Styela clava: one gene and its partner. The main gene of each other region encodes a partner of the protein of the gene in region 2 in a complex. Links are inferred from orthologs where the notes say so. Each region holds a gene or a part of one and is shown on either strand. Other genes may lie near its edges. The genes, in order: desert hedgehog protein A-like and protein dispatched homolog 1-like.

The links.
Region 1: the proteins of protein dispatched homolog 1-like (region 2) and desert hedgehog protein A-like are in contact, whole or in part, in a cryo-EM structure (PDB 6TD6), measured with the Drosophila melanogaster proteins. The link is inferred for Styela clava from reciprocal best matches to the Drosophila melanogaster genes disp and hh. Residues at the interface, in NP_524734.2 of Drosophila melanogaster: His77, His78, Arg250, Tyr253, Glu296, Ala404, Gln405, Ser406, Asn407, Arg408, Gly434, Asn755; in NP_001034065.1 of Drosophila melanogaster: Tyr100, Pro101, Val103, Leu104, Lys105, Gln106, Thr107, Asn110, Leu111, Ser117, Glu164, Lys165, Val168, Ala228, Gly229.

Annotation. Positions count from the first base shown.
Region 1 is NC_135251.1:20,005,263-20,009,199, reverse strand, and holds the start of desert hedgehog protein A-like, read left to right. Parts: upstream 1-1,160; 5' UTR 1,161-1,191; coding exon 1,192-1,518; intron 1,519-3,937.
Region 2 is NC_135255.1:3,997,754-4,001,690, forward strand, and holds the start of protein dispatched homolog 1-like, read right to left. Parts: upstream 2,394-3,937; 5' UTR 2,180-2,393; intron 368-2,179; 5' UTR 366-367; coding exon 271-365; intron 1-270. Other genes in the region: mediator of RNA polymerase II transcription subunit 13-like, read right to left, coding at 3,740-3,937. UniProt on the Drosophila melanogaster protein: Segment polarity protein which functions in hedgehog (Hh) signaling.

The DNA of each region.
Region 1 (3,937 bases), on a different chromosome or scaffold from region 2:
AGTTCAATTCGTTTATTGCAAAAACAGATCAAAAAACCCTATTTGACCCAAATATTTCAACAATCACACACGGCCAAAGCGTTTTTGCATAAAAAGCGATGTACAACATAATAATTGGTGCAAAATGTTTCTGCTGCATTTGTTCTGCAGCTGTCGCGACTAACTTTGACAAATAATTTTGCCTCGAAAAAAGGCTTCATTATGCAAGATATTCAGTGCTTCGTGATCATGGATGGACCATACTTTCGTAATCTTAATAAAATTTAATGAATGCTTGTAATTTGAACGATAACAATGAACCTATTACACAAATATACTCCTTGTTTTTCTCAAGAAAATCCGATAACAGTAATACAGCTGATTTAGTTCAGCTATGGGACGGTAACGTAGTTTCGATTTATATATGCAACGTGGTCAGAACAGAAATACTATTGGAAACGAATAATTACATACGGCAATATAATAACATAAGAATCTCAATGAAGCGGTACAATCTTGTGATCTGACAAATCACCTAGGTCCAACGAAATCGAAAAATGAATACTCTTGCCCAAGTCATACTAAAAATGTATAGCAGGAGGATAATAAAAATCAGAAGTTTTTGAAATAATATTACCTATTTACAAAATAAAATTATTTTCATTATTGTGTAGCTTTTGTATAAAAACAACATTCCACACGTGCCAAATTAATTGGATTCTTCTTCTATTCTGTCACAGTAGGACATTAATTAAAATGAAATCCCCTGGCACGGTCACCATTTCTACTCACCGGCCGACTCATTGATTCACTCAGTCCATCATTTAGGTCACGCTGGACCATTATTGCGTTAATTTGTTACAAGCCCATTTTGTCGTTCCGCTAATGTATTCCGCGTTGGTGCAGACATTATTGATTTCTTAATCCTCGCGTTTGTTTCCGATTTCAAATTTAAATTTCAGTTGACAAAGAGGCGACTTTTCTCCTGTTTGGAAGTTTTGTATTATTGCGCCGGATGGCTGGCAGGTTAAAACTGTCTTAAAATTAAGGTAAATAAGATTGTTGCAGCTGCATAAATGGTTTCGTCGAAAGTTAGGGTATTTCTTTTCTCGGTTTTTTTGCAGAAAAATAACAATTTATCTTTCTTTTTTCCCAATACGCAATGCAATAAAAATAGAAATATGTTATAATATTTTACGCCAATGGAACCAGATGTACAGCTCTGAGGACGAAATGAATTGTCAAGAAATTATAATCATTGTCGGACTATTGCTGATTGTCTCTCATAATCGAGTAACTGACGGTTGTCACGGGCCTGGGGTTCCTCCAAAGAGGCGGAAACCTTCGAGATTACTGACACCTTTGGTGCTGAAACAACATATTCCAAACATATCAGAATTTACCATCGGAGCAAGTGGGCCACCAGAAGGAAGGATAACACGAGAAGACAAAAGATTCAAAGATCTCATTGTAAACTATAACCCACAAGTTGTTTTTAAAAATGAAGAAGGAACTGACGATGATCGTCGAATGTCAAAGGTATGAATATATTGAATTCTCTTTTTTACACACACACACACACATACACAAAATCACTTGAAGCAACTTGCAATGAAAAATATACAGACTTCATCGAAGATAATTCAGCTCACAAGATCTCAATTGTATTCTTTGACTGTATTTGTAAGCGTGTGAAACTAAAAATTGTTACCGCTCATTTCGAGGTAATTCGTAATATAGAATATTATGGCATATTTTCTTGTTAGACAGAAAGGTTCGTCGTCATCATGGGAAACATATGTAATCAAACTTACTTCATACTAACTACACACTACTGTTCAATAACTCCCAGCCTCCTTACGCGATAGACGAAATAAGTCCGCTTACATGTAGGCTTATATGAAGGCCATTTATCGCGATAAAATAATCTTACATATCTATTTATAAGATACGTTTGAAGAGTGATTTGTGTGTGAAAATATTTTTTTAGTGAATTAAACAAAACAACTAAAACACTGAAATCTTGCTAGGGAATGTTTTGTCAAATTTTATTATTTTTTTTCGCGTTGGGTAGGTAATTGACATTCAACGTTAACGTGGCGCGTAGTTTTTCATCAATCTTTAAAAGTTACAACTTAGGTCTCGATCTCAGTACCTCATCACTAAAAGTATTTCTTATAAACCGCATATCATAACGTCAAATAAACATGAAAATTTGGAACTGCTTTGTTACGGTAAATCATAATTGTTATTTCAATGAAAACTCTAAACATATCGACGGTTGGTTGGTTATACTCCTCCGCATGTTTATTTTAGTGTTGCCGAAATAGTAACTTTTTGCCATGCTCCGTTGCATGTGGATTAAACCTCAGCCGTTATGTCACCGCCAAACGTCGTTTCGGTTGCAATTTGAGGTGGATGGCGTGAACAAAATCAGTTGCGAATTTTGTTGTTATTTTTTACCGGTTTTACCGCTGTCTTCAAAAAATTCATATCTTGCGGTATTTTTGTCGTAATAAGTCAGCGAAAAACAGTTGAAAGATCGACCCCAAAAAAGCAAACGAATGACCGCAATCACAGAAATCTTTTTATACGTGCAACAAATAAACAGGAAAATCTTACCTTTTCTTGTTGTTGTATTGGCTAAACCCAAGAAATAATGGTATATGCACCATGTGCAATGTATTTTGTCGGCTGAAGAATTGTAATTTCGCGTTTGTGCTAACCTGTTTGTTGATCGATCGATAGTGACAGTCAGATATTGAAAATAAATTTGAATGTCACAGACGACCTTCGAACGATTTGCCGTTAGTTTGATTTTGTGCAACAATTTCCCGTAAAATTGAGTTATTGAGTCCTGGGGAACATTGTTTCATTACGCCAAACAGATAAAACTGTTGTGGCAGCTTAATAATTGTTTATTAGCCGCTACATAAATTGAGATTGCGGACCTCGGAGGCTGGCCACTGCGGTAAAATGTCATAAAATTTTAGATACAACTCAAACCTAAGTGTCCAGTTGTAGTGGAGTTTACTCTCAAGCCGCAATCGACAAGAAATTCAAATCTTTATTACATTGGGCTGTGTGATGTCCGGTCAAAGACGATTATGTCATGAAATTTACACGACATAATCATCCGATCAGTTTTTACCCGGGAATAAGATGAATGACGCCACCGATACAATATTTGTCTTGTACCGGAACGCCCATGTACGTTTCAATTCGACAGTTTGTTCTAGCAATGATTTTGTCTGCGTCACATTGGTATTTCGTCTTTCACGTCGAAAAGAATTTTCAAAAAAATCGTAAGTTTACCCGAGCATTTCTGTCTACATTTTGTTATGTTTGACTTCTTCATATCAAAAGTCATATTTTTGAAAACGTAAATGTGTTGTGCATATCGAATATATATGTCTTTTTATGTATCCAGTGATATACTGCATTCTGAGCCCGATTGGAGTGTTATAGATGTCCACTATACACGGATCAAAATATGAAAACAAATTCTTTATTCGGATGTATTAGATCAAATTGTTTGCGCTTTTCATAAAAACGTCACTGTCAGAAGATTGTAAGCGAACTGGACCCAGATTTTACTACATTGCAAACATTGTTGATTTGAAGGTAACAGCAAATCAAGAAAGCCAAAAGCAGACAAATATATTCTGCCAGACACGGGGGAGCGCGTTTTTAATATACCCCAAACTTGGTAATACACACCTGTTGCATGAATGAAATTACCGACGCAGAATTTCAATCAATATCTGTTATGCACGTTTGACCCTCTGGTCAGTTGATTGGGTATCGCCCTTTTGTCAAAATAAAATATAATGTTATAATGAAGAAAAATACCATATTATAACGTAGATTGCACAATTTAAAAGTAAGCCTCCTATCAAACAATAATTGTAGCATCATTTGTATAAATCTATAATAAGTTGTTTCTTGGATTACCCGA
Region 2 (3,937 bases):
GTAAATCAAATCATATCCTAAGAATGTATTCATTTAAAATTACAATTTTCAGTGAAATTCTGCCATTATTGCAGAAAATTATAAGTTGCAAACTATTTTATTTTTTGAGAGAAACTAAATATTGCTGACATATAAACATATATATTATGTCAAAGCTTATAGTATTCATTATAGCAATAAGAAGTCCTACAAAAGTAGTACAAATTATTCAATTCTTAATCAGGCTTTCACAATTTCCATTAACAATAATAATTATAACGATATACAAACCAGTCAACATTTTTTTCTTGTTCTTTTCTTCTGCGTCGTCGTTCCTCAACAGATTTTAAAACTCTAGCAACTTCTTCATCTGACTTTTCCTCCATGTCTAAAATAGTTTGTTACAATTTGGCAATAACGTATCTCCATGTACTAACAGCACTTTATAAAGGTCATGGTTGTTTGCTTAGCATACTTCATATTTTCTCATGGAATTTAGCGTAACGAAACTGACAACTATATTACAGGACAGGCGTGATAACAGGAAAACAAAACAAGCAACATTTGTCACAAACCAAAACCCAAAATAGATTGTACTTTATTAATAGCGCATTCATTTACGATATATGCTTGGTTGATCATAAAATTCACTATATATGTTCTGGTACCACATGGAGTAGACAGAAGCAAACAATGGCAACACAATATATATTTATGATTTCATAACTATCAATAACCAAAATTAAACATGTAAAGGAAAATTTCTGAATATTATTTTGAAATTGACTATAAAAAGAACAGAGTTTACCTAATGCATTCAATCTTGTCTATAATATAACCAAATATTTCAAGTTAATTTAGATTAAAAAAATTTCAAATTTGCAGCATGTAAAATCTGCATTTGGATATACATAATAAATATACTGCATAGCAAATAAGGATTAGTTTTAACAGGGCATTACACATTTTCACTTCAAGTCAATATATAATTAGTCACTTTTAATAGTTATAGGACTATACTTTTTTCACTTCAGCATGGCCTACTCATTCTATTAGAACATTGATGAGGTATGAAGTTTTACATACGCCATACGTTAGTGAATATAAATTTCTGGTATTTAAATTGAAAATATTTTTTTTGAAAATATGCATTTTCCAGATAAGTTGTCTGGACATCATTAGCATGCACAGAAATTTGTTCTTTATTTGAAAAATTTTCAATTTCTGACAATAAACTGAAAATAAAATCTAAGTTAGGCCGGGCAAAACAAATCTATCATAAAATCTACAATAAATCTAAATCCTGTTTCGCTAAACAACGCTAGGAATTGTGTCGCACAACAAAAGAATATTCATAAAAGTAGACCATTTCTCATTTCTCAAGTATCCTGTTGTTTGTTTGGATAACAATTTACATCATCATGTAATCTTAAATATAATAGGAGGATAGAAGGATCAAGAGACATTATATATGCGTAAATATCCATGTTATGCGGATATTAATAGCCATGAAAATCAAAAAGTCAGTTTGCAATAGGCCAGTATAATTTGATGAAGCAGCTATTTTAAGCAATCAACACAAGATACCGGTAGGCCTATATGAGATAATTGACTTAATAGCAAAATGATCAAAACAATTATTTTATCAATATTATATTTATTGATTACTTAACAAAATCGTAATAAATTTCACACTATGTGTAAAAACAAGTTAAATCCCAATTCCCAAAGATGAAATTAACACATCACAATGGAACAACTACAGAACCCGGAATTACCTAGGAAGGCAAGCCTACTCTCCAATTTTTGAGTTTCAAATTTCAAAAAATAATGTGAATGACCCTAATTTGTAAAGATATCTTATCTTCAAAGGTATTTTATTATGTTCAATGTAGTGCTCTTACATTCCTACGCTGCAACCTATACTCGAATTTTAAAAAAGATATACGATAACTATATTATGCTGTAAATTCTTGATTTAACTTTTTTTTTTTTCATTTTCATTCTACTTTTTTTCATATGTTCATAATAAAAACAGTCTTGTTTAACTTTTGATAAGTCAGGTTTTAGATAAACTTCTGCTACTCTCACTACTTACAAATACAATTTCTACGTGGAAAATTCTAATCTTTGTAAATATAAAATATGCATAATACGTCATTTAAAAACAATTCAAGATGGGAAAAATACGAAAACTCACCTAGGAGGTGGTGGAGAAAAGTCGTTTAGAGGCACTTTAAATACTGCAAATAACAGCAGAAGCTGTAATATCATCCAGAATGGACGTCATAAATCATTCAGATATGAGTCGAATTTCATATTAATTCCCATTCACTTGTATTCAGTTAACAGATAATGCATTCCGACGAATGATTTTGTTTCAGCCTTACTTTTCATGTTTATATAAACAATTTTATCTGTTTTCTAAATTTTAAAAATGAACAAATACAAATAAAGGTATTAAATAATCGTAACACAGTAAATAAATTTCATGGAAAATTGATTGAAACGCAAGTCAGTCATGTACATGAAAATATAAAATTTTCTGGTATTATCAACATTTTTCACGCTTAATTCTATTGAGTTAGAAGTTGAATTCTGATTCAAATTTGGATTCCATTGCCGCCTTGCTTTGAAGTTAATATTGAATACCATCATAAAAATTTGGACATAGATTAAAACCGTAAGGATGACTCAAAAATGACAAAGCTCATAAATTTCTTAATCACTTGTACGAAAATGGAGAAAACTTCTACATGTGTTGATTGTACACAAAAGTTTTGGCAATTTAGGACGCTTTGCACAAAAGTTTTCTCTAGAATATTCTGTTCTTTTTTTTGGGTCACCCATAAATAAAAGTCATAAACAAGCAATATTGCAATAGACATAAAAAGGGAAATCAAACTACACAATTACATTTAACTGGAATAGCTATACCATCAAATAGGGGAGGAAGAATTCATAACCTTATCTTAGAAAAATTGAAAATTTAATCAAAATGGCATGCACTTGCATGGAAATTTTACATATTATATATTCTGGCACTTATCAAATGAATCAACTTTTCAGAGGATAAAAATCACAAAACCAATTATGTATACGAAGATTCAAATTGGTCACAAATCAAAAATAGTATGAACTATACGAAGACAATTTGTCTCAGATTTCAACATTGTAACTCAAAATTGTTGGTGGTTAATAAATCATACCTGTTGTTTTTATAGTTCTATGATAAAATAATTTTCAAATACACCCTTTCAGGCAAATTCTCTGCTTTTAATGTCATGTAACAAATTACATCCAAATACTATCCCATGTAAGGAATGTTGAAAATAACAAGCATAGTTTTATCAAATCAAAGACATATCCCTGTTATGCACAACGCAGTTTGACACAAAGCAGCAATTATGAAAATAAAAGTGATTCAGAAGTTAGCTCAAACATGAATCATATTTTAAAAAAAGAATGAAAGTCGATAGACATTCGCGTAGCTTATTCTATAATAATTTAAATAAACAAATTTTTAGAATCTAACTGCATATAAACTCCTCCACTTTTCAATGCTTATGAACATATAATTCTTCTTCTTTTGAGTGTCATTTCAAACGTGGGTGGAAACATTGATATTCCGCAAAAATATTAATAATCAAGGCATATGGAACCATTGATAAGAAAAAAACACATAGTAAAAAATTGACACACAATTTTAAATGTACACCTGTTTAGTAATAATAATACTAACAATAAATAAAGTATGATATTACGTTAACTCCTTGATTGTGTGATAAAGTCTTGTTAGTACAAAATAATGTATAGGAAGACAAGACCTGCGATCGCGAGATACAGGGTCGCAGGTCAACCACGACAGTGCATTATAATTTTCCATCACATATCGCAGAACTTGAGCAGTTTTATGAGAATCTAATTCATGATGTTCATCATTTGTTTCCCCACCAGA